Linked DNA regions of Mus musculus: all the other regions are reported to be linked to region 3. Evidence: microRNA targets listed by miRTarBase, many of them from high-throughput screens and not tested one by one. Region 3 holds a microRNA gene; each other region holds the end of a gene's coding sequence.
What was found. The annotated mature microRNA mmu-miR-742-3p reads GAAAGCCACCAUGCUGGGUAAA and lies in region 3 at 1,724-1,745, shown strand. An mRNA with a match to its seed (bases 2 to 7 or 8) in the 3' UTR can be bound and repressed. Matches are read on the target gene's strand: a 7mer-m8 pairs with bases 2 to 8, a 7mer-A1 pairs with bases 2 to 7 and ends in A, and an 8mer does both.

Region 1: the mRNA of Dstyk is a reported target of mmu-miR-742-3p. Seed matches in the 3' UTR shown: 7mer-m8 at 4,177-4,183.
Region 2: miRTarBase lists Rab2b as a target of mmu-miR-742-3p. Seed matches in the 3' UTR shown: 7mer-m8 at 2,012-2,018.

Annotation. Positions count from the first base shown.
Region 1 is chr1:132,462,424-132,466,686 of GRCm38, forward strand. It overlaps Dstyk (dual serine/threonine and tyrosine protein kinase), which reads left to right. Exons shown (of 13, transcript NM_172516.4): 12 at 490-624; 13 at 901-4,263. The coding sequence ends at 1,088. 6030442K20Rik (RIKEN cDNA 6030442K20 gene) reads right to left here. Exons shown (of 2, transcript NR_165177.1): 2 at 4,205-4,263. Among named protein-coding and RNA genes, the nearest start is that of 6030442K20Rik, 13 kb to the right of the region's middle.
Region 2 is chr14:52,260,351-52,264,613 of GRCm38, reverse strand. Rab2b (RAB2B, member RAS oncogene family) reads left to right here. Exons shown (of 8, transcript NM_172601.3): 8 at 797-2,855. The coding sequence ends at 904. Among named protein-coding and RNA genes, the nearest start is that of Chd8, 4.7 kb to the right of the region's middle.
Region 3 is chrX:66,777,858-66,782,120 of GRCm38, reverse strand. Mir742 (microRNA 742) reads left to right here and starts at 1,684; the gene lies at 1,684-1,748. It overlaps Mir883a (microRNA 883a), which reads left to right and starts at 1,288; the gene lies at 1,288-1,363. It also overlaps the pseudogene Gm14681.

The DNA.
Region 1 (4,263 bases), not on the chromosome of region 3:
GTCTACCCTATTGCTGTGGTACCCCTGCTACGACCTTCTGCTACCCACCAACTCTAGACTCTTCTCTGCCTTTAAGATCTTTGTATGAGAGATAGGATCTTCCTGTGTATCCTAGACTGGCCTTAAACTATACTTCTGCCTCAGTCTTTTGAGTGCTGGGATTACAGGTGTCCACCACCACACCTGCCAGTCTTTATAATTTTTATTTTCTGAGTCCCACCCATAGTTCTCTAATATGGCCCCTTATAGAACTGATCTTGCAGACTGTCCCAATAAAATGAATGGCCTGATTTTCCTTCTGTTTTGACAAATTTTTGTCTTGGCTGTCTTAGCATCTAGCTTTCCATATTATAAAATGGGCACTACAGGTGTGCCCTGCCTTCCAGGCAAGTTGTGAAGAACAGTAGACATTAAAAGCTTTTCAAAATTGTGTAAGGAACCATAGACACAAGATGGTGGCTCACTATCGCTCGTCTGTCTTTACTGTAGGAAAGTATGATAACTCTGTGGACGTCTATGCTTTTGGGATCCTTTTTTGGTATATCTGCTCCGGCTCTATCAAGCTCCCTGAGGCATTTGAGAGGTGTGCTAGCAAAGACCATCTCTGGAATAATGTGCGCAGAGGTAAGACTCACCAAGCCACTTGGCTTGAACTCTCTGAGAGCAGACAGCCTGGATACCACAGCAGGGCACCCTCATCTTCTGGCCACTCCACAGCATGGCCACATCAGACAGACCATCATATAATGCTGAAGGGACACTATAAACCAGACCTTTGCTAACTGGCAGCATTATACCAGTTTCCACCATTCCTGTTGCATTACAGCTGAGGTGTCTGCTGTGGAAACCCAAACCCTTTGCTCTCCCAGACTGGCTTCACTTCCTTGCTCTTTTCTCTAGGGACCCGTCCAGAGCGTCTTCCTGTGTTTGATGAGGAGTGCTGGCAGTTGATGGAGGCGTGTTGGGATGGTGACCCCTTGAAGAGGCCCCTCTTGGGCATCGTGCAGCCTATGCTCCGAAGCATTATGGACCGGCTCTGCAAGTGCAGCTCTGAACAACCAAACAGAGGACTAGACGATTCTACTTGAAGACAAAACCCTTTCTCTTCCACTCTGTTCCTTCCTTCCCTCTCACCTTTTGGCCATGGGGAGAATTTGTCATTTGTTCATTAAGGAGGCTCCCAAGGGAACTGGTGCTTGGTGGCAACTCGAAGCCTTCCTGGGTAGGGATGGCTCCTGGGCAGTGAAGAAGTCAGTGGCTGTTTAGTGTTCACACTACCTTACACTGCCTCTTTGGCAAAAGACTGTCTCAGATGTTTAAAAGCTGAAGAATGTGATGTTCTGGCCTCAGAACTGAAAAGGAGACAACTGTTACCACTGTCTGCTCGCTGTGTGTCACTAAAACAAGACAGGCTTGCAGTGCAGGGCATCAGTCCAGCGGTAGAGACCACTTAGAAACATGACCTTAGTTCCAGATTGTATGGTCATAAAGGCAAAAACCAAACCAACCTAGCCAGATAGACCTGAGGTTGTCTGGTTCTTGGTCTTTATAGCCAGGATCTCAGGTTGTTACAGTCAAAGACCCAGGAGGCAGTTAGACATGAAGCTGTCTGTCCTCACAACCCAGTGTGTTTACATTTCCAGGGCCAGGGAGCCCTGGTTTCTGTGGGGCAGAGCTAACCCAGAACAGAATCTGTTTGATTCTTGTGTCTTTCCCCACCCTCTACCCTTCTTTTTCCTCAAAAAAGAAAGGAGGGAATAAACCAGATAACATGGTACTTGGGCTTGAGCATCTAGTCAGAAATAGGCTATAATTTTGTTGTTTTTAATGGGATGTAGCCCAGGCTAGCCTTAAGTCATCCATATGCTACCATGCATAGCTTCTAACTATATAACTCGCTCCTTTCTTCTTCCGTGCTAGGGATCAATCCCACTGCTCAGATATTGCTGGTAAGCACTCTCCCATGGGCTATGCTCCAGCTCCATATAGCTTTCCAAGTTCACTTTGAACACTCTGCACCATGAACTCTGATAATTGTGCAGTTGAGCATGGTGGTCTACACACTCACAGCTCTTCAGAAACGCCAGGTAATGCTTTCTACATGCAAACTGGAATGGACAAGTGGCGGGCCATTGTCTTTGGGTTCCTTGGCTCTGGTTCATTTTGGCAGAATGCTTAGTCTAGCTTTTAGAATTTTAACACCTACTCAACTATACTTAGTTACTCTACTCTGAGGGTTAACATGTTGCTCTCTGGAGACAGTAGGACGTACAGGAAGCCAAGGAGTCAGGAGGGAAGAAATGAGTCGTCTCAGCTTGTTAGGTCTGTGGTGCGTGAAACCTGAGATCTTGTGTAGTTAGAAGACTGCTGACCCTGCTCTTGAGTCTAGCTGTAATAAAGAGGCGGTAGCTCCAGTATGGAACTATATTCCTAACATTCTTTGGACCACTTAGCCCACACTCAGACTCCTAAGTGGAGGTTAGAGTTTTGTTCCCTCATTCAGAGTCTCTTTTTCGTCTCCTGTCAGATTACAGGTTCCTTCTTTTAATTTTAAAAAGCCAGTTTTCATCATTTTCTGCTCAGTGGGAGGAGCAGAGAGATTAATGCCTTAGGGAAAGGAGGAGGAGTTGTATAGTTCATTCATTAGAGTAGCCGAGCAAGGCCCACGATAGTCCTGAGAGTATCCGGGCAAGCCAAAGGCCACATTGGGGGTATTTGGTGTTGGTATTTCAATGCTCAGCGGGCTGAGTATGTGAACACATATGTCTAATTTGTGTGTGTTGTACTTCATAACATTGTAAGCTATTTTTTGATTCTGTGGTTTTTGGCATCTACTATTATTTCAGCGATAAAATGCCACGAAATGTACTGTATTGTATATCACTTGGGAAGACACTAGGCGGTCAGAGAAGTGTGGTGGCACTTGGGTAGTACAGGGCTTGACAGGGCCAAAGTTTTGAAGATTTACCTCTGGGCTGAGTGAGGAAGAAGGGTGGCATGAAGAGTGCCATCCTTCAAAACAGTTGCCACAGCTCCAGCCCAGCACTGACACCCGGCTGCTTCTCGGGAGCTCAAAGTCTGGCCTCAGAATGGAGTGACAGGCCTTTCTGCAGAGCAATCAGAAAAAATGCCGGCAGAGTCTGAGCCCAAGAGCTGTATCTGAGGCCCAGATGACTGGCTTCTTGACTGAGCAATCTTTCAGTGTTCTCAGGAAGAGGACTATCCTAGTTGTTGCCAGACCAAAGAGAGTCACTTCTGACTCTGTCAAGTTTAAGGGACAGGGCTAGGCAGCCATGTTAACACTAATGCTCAAGAAAACCAAGGAAAGGCTGCAATGCTGTTACAGCCAGAGCAGGAGAATGGGAAACTGAACACCTGGCAGCTCCCAGGATGCTTTTCTGTATTTTTGCTTGAGCTGTCAAACAGGTTGGAGCACTCAGGGTAGAATGTGCTTAGCCTGCACATGGCCTTGGGTTCAGTGTCTAGAACCAAAAAAAAAAAAAAAAAAAGCCACAAAGGTCAAAGGGGTTGGAATGTTTTTCCTGACAGCAGTGGCCTGGGGTAGTAGGGCTGCACAGTGACAACTGCACTAAATGACACTTTATTATTGTCTTATTTAGCACTGAGAAGCCCGGGGGATAGGTGAGTACAGTCACTTAGTAAACTGAGGCACCCTTTGGTCTTGTCCTAGAGAGATGCCATCTTTGATCTAGCTTCCTGGGAGACCTGCCAAGCCCATGTTCTCCAGGATGGAGTAGCGGCCTTGGTAAAGTGTATCCCAAAGAGGGAGCTGCTTTAGGTGTTCAGAACTAGCATTTTGTATTGGGTCAAACAGTCCACATATTCCTTAAAAGAAAACGAGGACTTAGTTTTCTAAATGTTGGGGTGTGAGATGGAGCTGATATAATATTAGACTGTATCAGGAAGGGGTGGCCTTAAACAACACCTGTGCTGCAAACTCCCCTAGAAGTTTCAGGTAGTACTGTCCTTCTTAAGAGTTTTATTTTTAACTTCATGTGCTTTATTAGCATCTAGTGTGATTGTCATGGTGGTGAAGAATGTATATCTGACATCATCGGACAGACCAAGTAGCCTGGAGAGTTGACAAGAAGATTGTCTGGATGGCCTGCTGGGTTTTGCTTTTTGGGTTTTTGGGGGGTGGGGTGGGGAAGGAGTTGGCTTTTTTTTTTGTCTTTATGTAATGTTTTTGTTTTAAAGGACTAATGTTTATTACAGTGTTATATAAAAGTGTAACATATTAAG
Region 2 (4,263 bases), not on the chromosome of region 3:
TCACAGGTGGTTTTTAGGTGCAGGTATCTAAGACCCCACATTACATTCTGTTTACTCTCAGTCTGAACCCCATACATATTGTTGAGAGAGATATGCCAGTGATTTACAGACGTACATAATATGAGCGTTTTTCTCCTTGACCTCAGTTTTTTACTATTGGAGAGAGAGAGAGGATTTTTCATTTCTTAGGAGGGAAAATTCTGAGACAAAACAAAGAATCATATGCTAATTTGTTTGCCACTTCTACTCTTTTGCTTTGCTTACTCTTTTAAAAAAAGAATTTTTTTCTTATGTATATTGTATGTGATGAGCATGTATATATATGCATGTTTACATATGTGTTGGGAAAAATGTGGGTGTTCATCTGGAGGCAACAGGTGTCTTTTCATTGCTGTTCACCTTACACACTGAGGCAGGTTTGCTCTGGGGACTCCCTGTATCTTTGCTTCTAAGGACTGGGATTGTAGGTGAGCTGCTATGCCCGTCTGGCTTCTGTCTGGTTTCTAGGGATCTAATTGTGGTCGTCATGCTTATATGGCAAGTATTTCCCCTGCTGAGCGCCCCCTCCGTCACACCTGAATTCTGTAGACAGCTATGAAATCTGTGTGCATCTTGAAACAAGCCAACTCCACCCTCACCAACTGGCTCTCCTCATAACCAGTCATCTCACTCTTTCAACAGTTTGTCTAGAGGACACAATTCTTAGAATTTAACTAAAGGGTTCTCCTGTATCTCTGTCCTTCCTTCGAATTCTCTTCAGCTCTGATGCAGGAATTGCTGCCTTTCTCCTTTACAGGCAAATGGCATCAAGATTGGGCCCCAGCAGTCAATTACCTCCTCAGTAGGACCGTGCTCCCCTCAGCAGAACGTTTCTGACATAGGGCCTGACTCTGGCTGCTGCTGAACACCGGGCCTGAGTGAGCGCTTTCTCTTTCCTCTCGGGGAGCAGCTTCAGGTCAGCCAGCGCCACGAAGGAGATCCTCGTTGCTTAGGCTGAGAGCAGCCTCTTTTCAGTGTGCGATGTTTCACCCTTCCACTTAAAACATGAGGAGAAAATTGGGCCCTTTCCGACCTGTCCTCCTTTAGGGACATGAGCATTCCGCGTAGATTATGGCTCTTTCACCCTCTAGTTTCTAAAATGTTAGAATCAAAGTTGATTGTCACAGTAGCTAAAAGGCAAACAACTTGCTGTCAACATCTATTTGCTAGGTGTTATGGCACATACCCATAATTTCAGCACTCAGGACTTTTGGCAAAAGGATTGCCAGGAGTTTTGGAGTCAGTCTGGGCTACATAAGTTTCCCTAGGCCATCTGTCTAAAAAAGCCAAAAAGAAAAGAGAGAAAGGAATAAATACATGTGTCTGTTCCTCACCCAATTTTTAGTTGCTAAGGTGAAGGATATTCTGATATAACATTTAGAATTAAGGGTCTGAGTAGCCTTTGGGTGATAGATCTATACATAGTGATTTCATTGCGTGTATTTCCTTGCCTTGGAAACCTGTGTGTCATATGATAAGAGTTCCTATAGAAGCTGAGTGCCTCTGCACTGTCTCGTTGCCAGCTCCTTTTTATTTATTATGTGTGTACAACCTTGAGCATCATTCCTTAGGATCCCCGCACATGGGCCCCACATCTCTAGAGTGCCATGCTTAGGCAAGGCTTGCTGGCCTTTTTCATTGCTAGTTCTTTTCCTTAACTACAGAACGTAGAAAGCAGTGGAGTGGGTACCGGACCTGTCGCCACACACCCTTACCTAAGAAAACATAAGTTGTTCATTTTGCTTAAAGGACCAGTTCTAGCATTACATTTTCTTTTACCGAATTGCTCTCTCTACTGTTACACACACACACACACACACACACACACACACAGGCACACATGCGAGCCCGTGCACATGCCCTGGAGATTAAGCTAGGTTCTTAAACATGCTTAGGAAGTGCTGAACCTGAGCTGTGCCCTCAGGAGCCTTCTCTTACTTACACTTTTTGTTTACAGACAGGTTGCTGAGGCTGGCTTTGAACTTGGGATCCTGAGGCTTCAGACTCCCAGGTGGCTGTTTATTCTCTCTAACCAGCTCTGTTAGATATTTCCTCTAATCAAGCTAATTGGTTACTGAAATGACATATTTATCCCAACTTCTGTACCTTTGCACAAACTCTACCCTCTGACCCTCCACTACCATCATACTGACACTCTTTTCCTTTAGGAAACCCTCACTGACTGACCTAGGGAGCCCTACGAAGTTGTTAACACAGTACTTCTTAGCATTCCTACGTTATCCATATGTATATTTATTTGTATGTGTTTCACGTTATAAATGTTTTGTAGTGAACCCAGGGTGGGTGAGGGGGAAGCATCTGTCTCACATAGGCTGTAAGCTCTCTGAGAGCAGGCACCTGTCATCCCAGTCCATCCCACCGTTCCCTTACTGTACTCTGCAACTCACCATCTGGAATTAAGTGACATGCTTTAAAACTTAAGAGTTTAGAAGAAACAAAAGGCCTTAGAGTCATCTCTATGTAATTGTATCCTGGTTTCCCCATCTCCTTATCCTGATTTCTCATTGCTCTTCTGTCCTGCCTCACTGTAACTGCCTCCATTCTGTGCAGTCTACAGTAAGAATGCCTGCTTCCAAGACTCAGATACATAGGGACGTTTTTACCCGTTCCGTAGACTCTGTAACTGTCAGCCCAGTTTGCCTCTGCTGACTCCTGGCATCACCTCCTGGGACACTTGCTGTCTTTTTTACTTGTCTCATTTTCTTTCACAGCACTGAGGTCTCACCAAATTTTCTAATTTTTATTGTTAATGACCGTTTTACTATTAAATATATGCATGATCCAAGCTACTTTTATTTCATGTGTCATTTCTGACTATACCCTGAGTGTAAATGGATACTATCCTCCTAGAATATTGCATCAAAGATAATTCCTTCTTAGAATTGGTTTTATTCTGAATTCTGTTCCTTATAGTAGCAGTAAAGTTAACATTGTACCATAGGAAATGAGAGGTCATCTGGGCATTGAGCTGATTATGCTTCTGGTCTTTGGATTTTAACCCTACCTCATTCCACAAAGGTTTAGTGGTTGTTGAATTTATATTCAGCCTGTTTCTTTGTTTGTTTTGTTTTGTTTTGTTTTGTTTTGTTTTAACCAGGCACAAAACTGAGTATATAATTTAGTTCTTTTCATTTTTCCTTCATCCCTCCCTCATTTCTTTTCTCTCTTCCTTTCTTTTTAAGTCTGGTGAGGTAGCTTAGGCTATCCTAGAACTCCTGATCTTCCTGTGTTAGCCTCCTGAGTACTGAATGTGCCAATGCACCCATCAATGCTATAGTTTCTGTTGAAAAGTTCTTTACTGTTCAGATTTTTCTAGCAATTCACAAGCATTAGAGATAGTATTTTACCTATGGCTGTTACTCTTGGAGTGATGAAAGTGACCATCCTGACTTTTTTTTTTTTTTTGGAACGTAAAAACCTAATTCTCACACCTAGTATTATATTTTATAACCTTCCATACTTGATATTTTTCTTGTTTTGAAAAGAAACAAAAAGCTGTGGCTTATTATAAATTCATGACCTGAGTCAAGTGATAATGAATTAATACAAAAGCATCTCCCACCCCAATGTGCTGAATGGTAATTATGCGATATTTTGAAATCATGAACACTGAAAATCATATCATTTATAGCAACACATCAGTGTAGCTAGCAGAAACCACTGGGCCAGACACGCCCCTCCCACAATGCTTATAATGACTTCCTTTGTTGGTGGGTCTTATATTCTGTACCAGAAACTAACCAGAAGGATAATAGTCTCTTATTATAGAAACCATTAATAATTAGGATTATATCTCTGTGCATTTACACATAAACACATTAACAAATTTATACAGTGGTATTTAGAGCTAGGGAAGAATTTGCTCAGTATAGTCACAGCTCCTCATAAAATATTGACACAACACCCTTCCCCTTTGGTTTTGTTGGTCTTTTCTTTCTTTCTTTCTTTCTTTCTTTCTTTCTTTCTTTCTTTCTTTCTTTCTTTCTTTCTTCCTTCCTTCCTTCCTTCCTTCCTTCCTTCCTTCCTTCCTTTCTTTCTTTCTTTCTTTCTTTCTTTCTTTCTTTCTTTCTTTTTTTTTTTTAGGGCTGTCCTGGAACTCACTTTGTAGACCAGGCTGGCCTCAAACTCAGAAATCCACCTGTCTCTGCCTTCCAAATGCTGGGATTAAAGGCATTCGCCACCACTCCCCGCCTGCTGTTTTGT
Region 3 (4,263 bases):
GATAACCCAGACAGAAAAGAACATGCATGGTATGTACATACTTATACCCATGACATACGCCCACAGACCCTAAGAAGTTAAACAAGAAGGAAGGCCCAATTGAAGATGCTTGAATCACACTTAAAAAGGGTAACAGAACTGTCATGGGAGGCAGAGGGAGCAATGTGGGTATGTGAGGGGGATATGTTTGCAGGATCAGGTGTGGGAAGGGAAAAGAAAGAGGCCCATAGGCCCAGGAGAATGAATGGAAATCTCTATCTTGCAGGGGACTTACGGGTGGAGGTAATCTCTAAGCAGACCCTGAGACCTAGGATAGGGAAGGCTCCCAGGAGCCATTGTGTGTGACCTTAGCTGAGATGCCTAACAATGTGGACATGGAACCTGAAGAGGCCACCTCCTATAAACAGGCAGGACCTCCTGTGAAAGATAAGGACACGAACCCACCCATAAAACTTTTGACCTAAAATCCACATTTTTTAAATTATATTTTTATTAATCCTTTACAATTTCATATTCACTTTGGTCATAATTATAATTAAGTTTGATAAAAGAATATGTTTTGTTGTGATCATCATTTCTCTTTAAGTTAGGGTAGTGACAGGTTTTTATGTGAAATGTACATGCAAAATCAATTGGATTTTCAATATCATCAGCTTAAGTGTGAAATCAAACATTTACAGACACAGTTTAGTGGGGGTGTGTTTAATTGTGAAGATTGTGATAAAAGCTGTTGGATGAAATTGTTGTTGTTGAGATGAAGTACAAAGGATCAGTCTATGCTATCTCAAAGTACAGATTAATACATACTGAAGCCTTCATTTGATATATTCTCTTGATGCTGATGACTAAATCATTGCAGGTATCTTGAGGTCTTGCCTTGTTCATTTGTTATTCTTTGGTGTCACCTGACCTATATATTTATAAGAATATTTGTCTTGTTAATTCTATTTTTGTTTTGTTTTGTTTTGTTTTTTTGAGACAGGGTTTCTCTGTTGACCAGGCTGGCCTTAAACGAACTCAGAAATCCGCCTGCCTCTGCCTTCCGAGTGATGGGATTCACGCCCGGCTATGACTTGTTAATTCTTAACCTCTTGAATTCATACAGATTCGAGGAGTATCAAGAAAGAAGCAAGTCTGATACCTTGAAATGGAGATGGAAGATAATGGAAAATATGATTATACTTCCTGAGGAATTATGTGTAAAGAAATAACATTGCATTCATGTCATACTGAGAAGAATCATGAAAGTTGTTTTTGAAGTCAGCTGATAATAATAATAATTCGTGTGCACTATAATGCTGAGAGAAGTAGCAGTTACTTTATTCTATAAGTAACTGCAACAGCTCTCAGTATTGTAAGGCTCAACAAACGCAGGGATGGTAGCCATATGGTCATATTATGCCTTCATAGAGAAGATAAATGTACTGATTCTGGATTATACTTCATCCATCTTCATGATATCTTCAGATCTATAACCATAGAGAAGAGAACGGTTGTAGAACTTTAGAAGTATACTAAGAAAAATCCTAATGGTGGAACATGAGAAGACAGCTTCGAAGAAGAATGTGTGGTTAAAAAAAAAAAGTAATTATTGTTGACGACTTACTTCAATGTTCTATTCAATTTTATTTCACATGTTGAAATAAAGACTTCAGATGGGCTGGTTCTAGAGTACCTGGGCAGTGCTCTACTCACATGGTTGCTAATCACGTGAAGTGTAGGTGAAAGCCACCATGCTGGGTAAAGTAAAGCTCATCATGTTCTTCATTTGTTGTGGCCTTGGGTAGTAAAGATGAAGAAACTATACATCCTTATTATGGCTCCAGAATCTGCTTCCTTGTACCTGAAGAAACTATGCTCTCATTTTTTTTTTAAGTTTAAATGTTGTGGAAGTTAGCATTATTCTAGCTTGCACAGAACCCAAATTATACAAATTATAAGAACAGAAAATTGCATGCCAGTCTCAATAGGGATCATGAATATAAATATCAGAAATAAAACCAATCAATGATTTCAGGCCCAACTGAATATCAATTCAAATATCTTGTGACAACTTAGATGATGAGTGCACGAAAGTGGACTGAAAAGCTACAAGTAATTAGAGTCTTCCTTTATAAATATGGCCCTAAGTGAAAAAGAACCAAACAGATTTAAATTCAAGTCACTGAAATTATGATGGTATCAGTGATTTGAATTTAAATAGACCAAGTTCCTATCTTCTGTATTCTGTAACTTTCTCCAGTAATTGAACAGCGATATACAGGTACAATTGTGTTGTATTCTCATCCTATGCTCCCAATATTCTGATTCTTTTAGAAGATTTTCATTACCTAGTTTTTAAAAGTCATTTGCAAAGTATATCACTGATTAATCTTAAAGTCACACTGGCTATCTGGCTATAGGTCAAGAGGTCTTCCTTTATCATGCAAGGTGACAAAGTATATTTTGTATTCCCAAACAGTTGAAAATAAATAAATCAATGTTAATATGTCATGCTGTAATTGGTGAAGTGATGAAAACTGCTTGGGATGATTAGCCTACATGGATGATACCTCCATATCTTCATGCTTTATGTTATATCTCACTCAAGAAGCTGTTAGACAGTTGGACTACCGACAAATCTTCCAGGTAAAGTACTGCTCTTTAATTCAGTTATTTTTGATAGGTTCTAGGTAGTATTAGTGCTTTCCATGTAAGATCACTGATAATGGTTTTCAGGATGATCACAAAGCCTTACTATACAATTGTGTGTATCTTTTTAATCACTTTCATGGGACAGCATTCAAGCATCTATGTTAGGTAAGGAAAAGGAGAACAAGGTGCTAAAATTAAGAATTATGCTTTCATAAAAAGAAAATGAGGTACACTGTGTTAATGAAAGACTAAACACAGAAACGGTTTGAGTCTTTGTTGCCCCATATCCTTACTTTTTCAACATAGTGTAGACTATCCATGTTTCACCTCATGGGTACTTTCAAAATAGAGAATGTAAAGAAAGAAGATAATCTAAAGAAAAAAAAAATAATTTCCTTCCCAGTAATTAAATAAAGTTAAAGGACTTTTATCTCTCTGATCCAGAAGTGGTAGAGATAGAAAGTGAAGGAGAGTATATATATTCCCTAAGAACTTGAGTTAAGGACTCCTGAAACTTCTTGGTAATGCAAGAGTCAGATGAGATGATATGTCTCCATTCATTTTGGTGTGTGCATTGTGATATAGGACAGATACCAGTCACTTTCTACTAACCTCTCTCAATATAAGGATACAGAAAAAAGTAAAACTTGATGAAGATGATGAGGACGATGATGAGGATGATGAGGATGATGATGATGATGATTTTGATGAAGAGGAAACTGAAGAAAAGGTCCCAGTGAAGAAATCTGTACGAGATACCCCAGCCAAAAATGCACAAAAATCAAACCAAAATGGAAAAGACTTAAAACCGTCAACACCGAGATCAAAGGGTCAAGAGTCCTTCAAAAAACAGGAAAAGACTCCTAAAACACCAAAAGGACCTAGTTCTGTAGAAGACATTAAGGCAAAAATGCAAGCAAGTATAGAAAAAGGCGGTTCTCTTCCCAAAGTGGAAGCCAAGTTCATTAATTATGTGAAGAATTGTTTCCGGATGACTGACCAGGAGGCTATTCAAGATCTCTGGCAGTGGAGGAAGTCTCTTTAAGAAAAGGGTTTAAACAGTTTAAACAGTTTGGGGTATCTCTCTCAATATAAGGATACTCATAAAGTACTGTCATTGTAAATGTAAGAACATAGATGCACATGCAAGAGTATTTTCTGATTCTAAGATCGATTGTAGCTACCTTCACAGGACATTGTTTAGGTGAAGATATAGGGGGAACCTTTCATCTAATTCCTATTTCTCATAGGTGAAAATATTTAAAATTAGGGACATAGCACTATGGAAAATAAGTTTAGTTTCATTTTAATTTTTAAGTGCTTTTTAAATTAAAATATTTTATAATTCTCCCCTTTCGTTTCTTCCCTTCAGCCACTCTAATCAACTAACCCCTTTGTTCTCTCTCTCATTCATGCCCTGCTTAGTCCATATTTTGAAAGTTTTATGTATGTTATTTCAGTGCTGACCATGGAAAAGCAGTTGGTGGGCTCTTCTCTGCTGAGTACTATTTCTCCTGAAAGCTTTTTAGTGTCAATCCCTATACACATTAATGTCAGTGAGACTTAAGTGCGTGTACACATGGTCTCTCAGAGTGAGTAATGTTCAACAAGCTCCTTACTTTGTATACC